Arabidopsis thaliana: one gene and its partners. The protein of the gene in region 3 interacts with the protein of the main gene of each other region in a pairwise test. Each region holds a gene or a part of one and is shown on either strand. Other genes may lie near its edges.

What was found.
Region 1: the proteins of WRKY41 (region 3) and BBX26 interact in a two-hybrid assay, tested with the Arabidopsis thaliana proteins (one large-scale study listed by BioGRID).
Region 2: the proteins of WRKY41 (region 3) and AT5G67411 interact in a two-hybrid assay, tested with the Arabidopsis thaliana proteins (one large-scale study listed by BioGRID).

What each region holds. Positions count from the first base shown.
Region 1 is NC_003070.9:22,216,501-22,219,684, reverse strand, and holds BBX26 (B-box zinc finger family protein), read left to right. Parts: upstream 1-1,852; coding exon 1,853-2,608; downstream 2,609-3,184.
Region 2 is NC_003076.8:26,898,028-26,901,790, reverse strand, and holds AT5G67411 (GRAS family transcription factor), read left to right. Parts: upstream 1-2,054; 5' UTR 2,055-2,693; coding exon 2,694-3,127; intron 3,128-3,215; coding exon 3,216-3,390; 3' UTR 3,391-3,714; downstream 3,715-3,763. UniProt on the Arabidopsis thaliana protein: Probable transcription factor involved in plant development.
Region 3 is NC_003075.7:6,757,317-6,761,079, forward strand, and holds WRKY41 (WRKY family transcription factor), read left to right. Parts: upstream 1-1,781; 5' UTR 1,782-1,986; coding exon 1,987-2,339; intron 2,340-2,480; coding exon 2,481-2,609; intron 2,610-2,961; exon of another isoform or gene 2,962-2,987; coding exon 2,988-3,447; 3' UTR 3,448-3,478; downstream 3,479-3,763. Other genes in the region: 3xHMG-box1 (HMG (high mobility group) box protein), read right to left, coding at 3,582-3,689. UniProt on the Arabidopsis thaliana protein: Transcription factor. Interacts specifically with the W box (5'-(T)TGAC[CT]-3'), a frequently occurring elicitor-responsive cis-acting element.

The DNA of each region.
Region 1 (3,184 bases), on a different chromosome or scaffold from region 3:
CAGACTCATTCTTTTGTATAACAAAAAAAAAACCTCTTTTATCTTTATAATTTGTTACTACTCATTTTTTCTTCGTTTTACTGGTTAGAAGACCTTGGGAATTTTTCAGTTATAGAGGTAAGAGTTTTAAGGCTACCAAATTCAGATACAAAACACCTTATATTCCTTGACATTATAAGTCTTTAAACAAATAAGTGCTACTAATCTATCTTTCATTGTTTGTTTTGTTTTTGTTTGGACAAGTATCCTGTTGCTCCGTGGACTATGGAAGCTGTCCTAGAGTATATAAAGCAGAGCTATGACAATCCTCCTGTCTACATTCTTGAGAATGGTCAATCTCTTCTATGATTAATTTATTCGTCTCTCCCTCATGTTTTTGATTTGGACTTAAAATGTCATATACAAACAGGTACACCGATGACGCAACACAAGGATACACATAGGGTGGAATACATGAATGCTTACATTGGTGGTGTGCTCAAATCCATAAGGTAAGTAAAGTTTTTTTATTGCATCTTTTCTTCTCTTATCTTGTTCGTGTAATTAAGGAAAAGGACATTGCTACGTGTAGGAATGGATCAGACACTAGAGGCTATTTTGTATGGTCATTTATGGATTTATTCGAGCTTATAGGGCGGTACGATTATGGTTATGGATTGTACTCTGTAAATTTCAGTGATCCACATCGCAAGAGATCTCCTAGACTCTCTGCTCATTGGTACTCTGATTTTCTCAAGGGCAAAACTTCTTTTCTTGATTCCAAAGGCATCAAGGAATTGCAGAGCAACTTCTCTTCTTCCTCTTAGTACTGTGATGAAATAACTCTTATGTTCTACTGAATTTAGACTACTTGTCATGAGAGCCACTTCTTTTTTTCTATAAATTCTAAATTAAACTAGTTTAGTAACTTTACACGACAAAATAATGAGAAATCACAGATGCTGAATACAAGAATTGCCCGTTTTTAAATGCTAAAAAGAAATTCGTACCCAGGCCTAAGCATGACATCAAGTTCAAGCTAGCATTGTATCAAAAAACCATATTACAGAACCATACAAACACTTGAATAGTTAGTAACTCTTAGCAAAGTTGTTTTTTACACAAAAGCATGCTAATCCGCATCAAAAAAGAGACACAAAAGAGCAGCTTCAAATTCATATACCATCCATTGTTAAGGCTGCATTTCCACATTAAAAAGAACAAAAGCGCAGCTTCCTACCTACATGTGAAAATCATAACAAAGACTGATCAGAAACTTAAGTATGTAAGTACTAAGCTAACAATCTAAACTCTAAAGCAAAATAGTTATACAAAAAAAAAAAACTCATTAATTTACCTGTTTGTCCCCCGTTTGGTTATGTTGATAAAGTTGGGATATTTTTTTCTTCAAAAAAAAAAGATTTCTACATCAAAATTTAAGAAACGACATTATTCTTACTGATCTTTAAGATCCGATAAAAGGAAAAAAAAAAACTTTATTCTTAACAAAAAAATGAGAAACAAGGATCAATTTTTCAAATATCATATAATTATCTTTTTTCTTTCTTATTCTCAATTAATAAATGTAATGTTGAATTTTGAGAATAATTTATAGTTAAAGATAAGTATATAACTTAGTAAAATATATCCTTCTACATAATCAGTTTGTTAAAAAAAAATCTACAAATTAGAAACTCCATCTAAATACGAGCTTCACAGATTGTTTCACAGAGAAAACAAAACTTTGGCTTCCTTCTCTCCTTGGTTCGTGTAAGTTGAATGTTTTTTTTTATTTTAAATTCGTGTTTCTTCTCTTCCGTTTTGCGAAGTTGATAATTTTGTTATAATCTTATATGAATATTTTTCAGGAAACATGGCTCAAGTTTGTCACACATGTAGACATGTAACAGCCGTGATCCATTGTGTTACAGAAGCTCTTAACTTCTGCCTTACATGTGACAACCTTCGCCATCATAATAACATACATGCAGAACACGTACGTTACCAACTTTGCGATAACTGCTCGATGTATCCGTCTATACTTTTCTGTTATGAGGACGGGATGGTTCTTTGTCAATCATGTTATTCGCACCATTACAATTGTGCCACTAATGGCCATCAAACTCAAGTCGTCTTCGCTAACATGAATAATCAACACCATGATCATGCACATATGCCTCATGTGGTTCACCATAACAATAACAATAATCATCAGCAGCAGCATGTGGGTGGTCACCAAAGAAGAGCAGAGATGTTTGAGAGGAGCTGCCACGGGGATAACAATTGCGAGAGATGGATGTTTGCAATGAGATGTGAGTTATGCGTAGCTTCGAATTCAAATGCTGTTGTTTATTGTCCTACACACAACCAGATTCTATGCGATAGTTGCGACCGGATGATTCACAGTCACGAGGACGCGGTGCCGCCGCATTCGAGGTGTAAGCTTTGCGTAATCTGCAAGAGACCTTCTCGCCGTTTTCTCATTGGCGGCTATCAGTTTAATTTCCCACCGGTTCATCCTCCTGCGGCAGAGGGGATTCCAGTTACGCCCCCAACAGAACTACCTCAACAAGATATTAATTATGATTATCTAGATGATGTTGATGATTTTTCTTGGTTTGGTAGGTGAATAGAAAATCGTCTTCTTTAGCTTTTTATTTATGTGTGTTTCTTAGAGTTTTCGTTAGGGGTTTAATTCTTGGTGTTATAATTGCTTCTGGATTTGAAAAAGAAAAGAAGAAGAAAAAAAAAACAATCAGTTGGATTTAATATGTTAGAAGAAAATAAAATGTCAAAACTAACTCCAATTTGTTCGAGGATGGAAGATATCATATCTTGATGTATGTATATCTCATCATTTAACTAGAAACTATCTAGAAACCACAATTACCGAAAAAACATAAAACAATTTTGCTAAAATGTTAAGAACACAAATTAATTTGATTAACAATCGATGCTTAAGGGGTTTATAGGAATTAAATAATATTTTTTTTTCAACAATAAAATTAAATTTCACTTTGCGATTTTAATTTTATTTAAGAAAGTCAAGAACCAACTCCAATATTTCCGGGGATGTGATTTTCTCAATAAAATCGTCTAATTATCTTGATTTTTGATGTTGTTGTTGTACTTTACGTGAATATCTCACAATTAGTAAGCAGAGTAGAAGATTTTGATTAGTATGACGACAAAAAATAGTACAAAT
Region 2 (3,763 bases), on a different chromosome or scaffold from region 3:
GAAAATAAATGAGTACTTAATCTACTAGTAGTACCTTGTTTATTGATTCCTTCCACACATGTCGGATCTGTTTTAAAGTAATAAATATACGTTTTTAAGGATTATAATTCCATTGACTTCAGAGTGTGTGTTCAATGATTTTTTGTTTGTGAGTTTTTTGTCGGTATGTAACAATTATTGTTTTCATATTGGCAAATACATACACCGAAAATACATTAATTAAAATAAGGTTACGTAATTATTCAAACAAAAAATAGTTATAAATTATTGTCACACACTTTTCTTTTCTTTTACTAGATTACAGAAAAAATTGGTATTCACTTGCATGATCAGAACGCTGTTTCACATATTATTAAAGAGGATCGAGAATGTTCGGTAATGTCGGGGGTAATTTGGTAAATCAAAGGATGGGAGGCGTAAAGAATCTGGGGACTTGGGACCAACGGAGATTTGAGAGCGATCGAGATAAGGACCAGACAGTGTTCGAACACGTGATCATCACGTGACTGTTTCCCGCATCGCCGGAACTTATATCCAGACTTGGCATCTTTGGGCCTACTATGAATTTGACAACTTTGACTAATCTTTCCCCATACATATAACTTAGCTGCATATACACGTAACTGTAAGTTGTATATATTTTGAGTAATTTCAAGTACAACGATTTTTTTTATATAAAATAATTCACATTCAATTTTATTTATGTAACAAAGGGATATAAAAATGGGCCCATGTCATCAAGAATCAAGTACTAACTTCGTTTATTGTTCATATGTTTTACGTCAATTCTTTTTGACTGGCTATCATTGTAGCCCAATGCTCTATGGGCCCATAATGGATTTTAATCATTGTATGCTATATTCAATGTGTTTTTTGAGCCCGTTAATATTTCTATTAAGCCCAACAGCCAATACCCAATAGTGGTAGTAGAAAAATACAGTAATACACGATCGAGCGAAATACTAATTTTTGTACTAACAATTTCAGTGTCTTTCTTTATTGATCTACAAAGTGCTCACCAACAATATTAGCATTTTAAAACTATTGTAAATTTAATCTTTCAAAAAAATAAAATTTGTTAGTTGGAACTCACTTTAACAATTAATTTTCTTATATAAACGTATTATTAGAATTTCTTTCTAATTGACTCCTTGACATTGTAGCCCAAGACCATTGCTTCCTATATCTACTTGAATAGTACTTGTCAAAATGCACAGTGCACGAAACGAATTGTCCTTTCACACCCGTCTTGGCATATAAAGTTCTTATTATAAGTGTGATTGGCCCACTCAAGATCGTCTCTACCTTAGCTTATCATATATAATGACAAGGGTAAGAGATAAGAGTGATTAACAATAAATATCTTCTCTAATCAAAGTATCCAACTAATTTAGCTTATCATATATAATGGCATATCAACTCTTATGGTCGAAAATGTTGTATTTGTCGTGGTGTTTAAATCAACGACGCCAAATCCCTAGGTTATATGTCTTCTAGTCCCTGTTAATATCTCAAGGCAAAGGAATCCTCCCCCAACATTGGATTTGATGTGCCCACCTAATCATATATTCTTTGGTCGAATATCTCCTCAAATTTTTGTCTTATACAAGCAAAATATATATAGCCACGGGGCGTGGTAACTACGTCAACAACAAATTAGAAAATCATTAGTTTAAAGATATGAAAAATAGTGAAACCTTTTTTAAAAAAAAATAGTGAAACTTACACACTGAGTTTAGACTGTTTATAAGCAATTTTTTGTGTTTTTTTCCTCCAGTAATTATCTAAACTGGTACGAACTAACAAATATCTATATTATACGAGAACTTGGAGGAAAAAACCACGTAAGAAAAATGTACAAACTGTTACGAATAATAAAATGTTTTGTCCATATACATAGAGATACCACCATAAATGCAGAAGACTACTATAACCTAAATTTAGCTATTTCAGACATATAAACGCCTATATGAATTAAGACCCAGAGAAACGAAAACGAAAGCACACATGACCAGAAAAAGCTGTACACCTACGGTTTTGTCTCGTTTTGAGGATCAGAACGGTGCGTTTCATATTGATAAGGTACTATCAATATGTCTCGTCTCTTTCTCTTTCTTTGTTTCTTTTGCTATTATTCACAAAAACTCTCTTTCGCATTGATTATTATTCCCATTGCTTGTTTGTCTTCATCTTCTTCCTCCTCTGTTCTTTCAAGGGGATCCAAATATGAACACAACCCAAATTCTAAACCCGACCCGACCCATTTGGCCCAGTTTCTCTTCGTCCAAATCTCTTAGCGGTGATGCTAACTGCATGGAGCAGCTTCTCCTCCATTGCGCAAACGCCATCGAATCAAACGACGCCACGTTGGCTCAACAGATCATTTGGGTGCTCAACAACCTCGCTTCACCCGACGGCGACTCAACTCAACTCAAAGACTCGCTGCCTCTTTCCTCCGCGCGTTAATATCACGCACCGCCTCCAAAAGCCCTGCGTTTGCGTTTCTATCACTGGCTGCTACAGCTTCCATATCCCAGAAAACGCTACACCGGTTCTCCGTCATAGAGCTCGCTGAGTTCGTCGACTTGACGCCATGGCACCGTTTCGGATTCATAGCCGCCAACGCCGCAATCCTCGACGCCGTAGAAGGTTACTCATCCGTTCACATCGTTGACTTAAGTTTGACTCACTGCATGCAAATCCCTACTCTTATAGACTCCATGGCAAACAAACTCCACAAAAAACCGCCTCCGCTTCTCAAACTCACCGTCATTGCTTCCGACGCTGAATTTCATCCGCCGCCGTTGCTCGGAATCTCCTACGAAGAGCTAGGTTCAAAGCTAGTAAACTTCGCAACCACACGTAACGTTGCAATGGAGTTTAGAATCATATCTTCTTCTTACTCCGACGGCCTCTCCTCCCTTATCGAACAACTAAGAATCGACCCATTCGTCTTCAACGAAGCTCTCGTCGTTAACTGCCACATGATGCTTCACTATATCCCCGACGAAATATTAACTTCGAATCTCCGATCAGTTTTCTTGAAAGAACTTCGAGATCTAAACCCAACGATCGTAACCCTTATCGACGAAGACTCGGATTTCACGTCGACTAACTTTATCTCCAGGTTTATCTTTTTTCGGTTCTATTTCAAAATTTAAACCCTAAACACTAATGTTTGACCTGATGAGTAAAATGTGTTTTCAAATGTTCAGGTTACGGTCTCTTTATAACTACATGTGGATTCCTTACGATACCGCCGAGATGTTTTTGACACGTGGTAGCGAGCAAAGACAGTGGTATGAGGCAGATATAAGTTGGAAGATAGATAACGTAGTAGCCAAGGAAGGTGCGGAGAGAGTGGAGAGATTAGAGCCGAAGAGCCGGTGACTTGAGCGGATGAGGGAAGCTAAGTTTACCGGAGTTGGGTTCGGTGAGACGGCGATGACAGAGGTTAAAACAATGCTGGAGGAACACGCCACCGGTTGGGGAATGAAGAAAGATGTTGACGACGATAATGACGTGGAACGTTTTGTGCTGACGTGGAAGGGACATAGCGTTATGTTTGCTTCGGCTTGGGCACCACCAAACTAAATTAATGGGGTTGCTGTGCTTATCATGTCTTAGTTAACCCGACCCCGACCCGTTGTGTCTGAATTGTGCTGACTTGCAAACTCTTTTTATTTAGCAAATCAAGTAACATGATTGGTCCGTTAGCTAAACTCTCCAGCTGTATATAATTTTGCACGTGCCAAGTTGACTA
Region 3 (3,763 bases):
ATAGATTTGATATGTCATAAATATTATTTTGATATGAAAATGTTATCATTCAATATGAAGTGTGTAGAATTTAAATCGAGTTTATTATGATGACATAGATAGTTAAACTGTATTACAAAATTGAATGTGTAAGATATAAATTTATTTTTTCTTTTTCTTTTCTAGATATTAAATTAAATATAGAATGATGATCGGTTACTTTTTAGAATTCAAATATCATTCATAAGATTGAGTGTGTATAATTAAAATAGAATGGATAAGACTGAAATTTTGTTTAAACCAATAATTATTAAATTAAATATCAAGAAAAATATATTGATTATTATACAAATTTCTATCGATAAAACTTAATTTTTGTATCTTAGACCCGCCTAAATAGCAGATGCTGAATTTAAGAGAATAAAAAAGTTAAATTTTTGTATCTTAATTTTTATATAATAAGATTCTATTTTTTTTAAGAGAATAAAAAAATTAAATTTTGAATGACAAATGTAAACATCTGATCGTTTGACTTGACACGTGGCACGATTCTATGAGTTAGTAACTTAATTAGCATATGTAAATTTGTTTACTTTTTAAGATTTTCTATTTTTTTAAGAGAATAAAAAAGTTAAATTTTAAATGACACATGTAAACATCTGATCGTTTGACTTGACACGTGGACACGATCCTATGAGTTAGAAACTTTGAAAACCATACTTTATATAATAAGATAAGATTTTTAAGACTCTAAATATTTGTTTATAGTTTAAGTATACACTAATGCATCACAATGTCACATTAACGTATTTAACTTTACACAACACGTAGGTACGTGGACTTAGTAATGAAAACGGATATACTTTCAATATGTTATAGCAAAAACTAATCTTCCAAGTCCATTAAGACAAAAAATCAACTAATGGCAGTAAAGTTACAGATCAATCATGAGATATGGAATTTCAGATGGAACTTCTTTTAATTTGATACACTTTGAGTCTTTGACGATGGATGGACTTGGTCAGCAGAAACCTTTTTTTACGATCTTGTATTGAATTATGAATGTATGTGTCATCTCACTTTTCTCTGTAATAGTTTATGGTTCATTTCATACAATCATACTGTAACTTTCTAAGATATCATGGAATTTTGTTTACATCTTTAAATGTTAGAAATTAATTAGAATGTCAAAATACAGTTGAACTTATTTAGTTAGCTCATCCTGATTTTGTACTATATTTTATAATTGAGATTTGGTATCTAATATTTGTGCTATAACTGCTAGTCTGCTATGCTATATATTTCATATTTAAATCTGGTAGACTATCTGAAGATGTTGAACACAAACAAAATAAATGATACAAAAACGGTTGTCGTCAATAGAATAACAAGTTATACAAGAAATGGTTTGTTGCTACCAAAATAGAAATCAATGTAATAGTACATTTTGCAGATAGATATTGAAAAAGAACCTTAACAAAGTTAATACTTGGAAAAGGTACAGTTTATTTCTATCCTAATAATATAATTATTTAGTAAACCACTAGATTTAAATAACTAATCAACTTGGTTAAACTAAAATAAACCCAAAGTTGATTTGGTCAGCATTTGACCTATAGTAAACACCACCACTTATACACTCTGAAACGATATATTCTTAATGAAGACCAAAGACTTTCTCAACTTTGAATCTTTTTCCTATTTGTTTAATAGTTTGCTCACTTGGTCAAATTTTCAAACATATCTTTTAAAACCTTTAAATTCCAAAAGAACACGCTTCGTTTTAGTACATTCTCATCATTCAAATACCAAAAATCTCACATCTTTTTCCTAAACCACAATCACATGTTCTTAATCTAAACCTTACTATAAAAAAGTTAAAAAGCTATCACATCTCTTCACCTTCAATGTCAAAAGTTTTTCCAAAAAATTCATAACTATTTCTTCCGGTCACCGTAAACCGGGGTTTTACCGCCTTTCGAATTTACTCAAGACACTAAAAGTAACATGGAAATGATGAATTGGGAGCGGAGGAGTTTGCTAAACGAGCTAATTCATGGACTAAAAGCGGCCAAGCAGCTTCAGGGTTCGTCTTCTCCATCGTTGTCAGCTTCTTCTTCATATTTGACGACGGAGATAAAGGAGAATCTCTTACATAACATAGTTTCTTCCTTCAAAAAAGCTATTTTGATGCTCAACGGATCCACCACACAACACAATCCAACGATAGAGCTTGCGCCTGATCCCCTAGCTCATCCCGGAAAGGTTCCAGGATCTCCAGCATCGATCACCGGAAATCCGAGAAGCGAAGAGTTTTTCAATGTAAGATCGAAAGAATTCAACTTAAGTTCTAAAAAGAGGTAAAAATTTGAACTTAAATTAGCGTTATAAAGAAGAGAAAAGCTTATTAAAATTTAATAATAATAATAATAATATTAGAATTCAAAAAAAATAGCCAGATTTTTTGAATTAGAGATTTGACAATTAATGAAAATTTGCAGGAAGATGTTGCCAAAGTGGACAGAGCAAGTGAGAATTAGCCCAGAGAGAGGCTTAGAAGGACCTCATGACGATATCTTCAGCTGGAGAAAATATGGCCAGAAAGACATTTTGGGCGCCAAATTCCCAAGGTACATCATCATACTCTATCATCATCATCATAATCATCATGTTTACGAATAGTACATTTGTTAAAAGATTGGTTAATAGCAGCGGATAAATGTTGAGTATAATTATATGAGTAATATATACCTAAAATTACTATTCAAAGTGTATTCTCATATTAAAAACTATTTTGCATAATTTAAATATCGAATATGTAATGAATAATTCTGAATATAATACAAGATAAATTAGATATTTAAAATTATTATCCGAGTTTGCTATATGAAGGTCGGATTTGTATATAATCAGATAGTTTTTTTTGGCTAAATTTACGTGGCTTTAAGAAGAAGAAAAAATTAGTTTTAGTTTTACTAATTTAGGACTAATTTGTGTTTTTATTGCAGGAGTTATTACAGATGCACATTTCGTAACACACAGTACTGTTGGGCTACGAAACAAGTCCAAAGATCGGACGGTGATCCAACGATCTTCGAAGTAACATACAGAGGAACACACACTTGTTCACAGGGGATCCCACTTCCAGAGAAACGAGAAACCAAACCAAAACACACAGTAGCAGTAAATTACCAGAATCTCAGGGCCAGTCTTACCGTACGTACCGGCGGACTTGGAAGCGAAGCTTTCTCATTCCCCGTCACGTCGCCGTTATACACTTACGAGTCCATCAACGGTGGTGGAACGTTTTACCACCACGTGGGAAGTTCTGGTCCGTCGGATTTCACTGGATTGATCTCAACAAATACTTCCACAGGAAGTTCTCCAATCTTCGACGTTAATTTTCAATTTGATCCAACGGCTGAGATTAACACAGGCTTCCCCACTTTTTTCCACAATTCGATTTAAGTAGTACAGTATTGAATATTCTTGAGATTAATATAATCCCGATTAGCGCCTAGCGATTTAAGTAGCAGAGTCATTTTGCATAAGTAGAGATGTTCAATATGAGCAAACTTGAACATTCTCTAATTTTTCTTTCTCTACGACGAAGTCTTGGTCTTATTGTACTCTTCCACTTCTTTCTTGTAAGCTTCCATTAACTCAGCAGCTTTGCTATTGTAAACTTGTTTCTCCTCTTCACCAAGTTCCTACAACAAAATTGTAACCAAAACCAACTCAATTTCACAACTAACAGTGATAAAATCTTACTCGTTGGATTCGA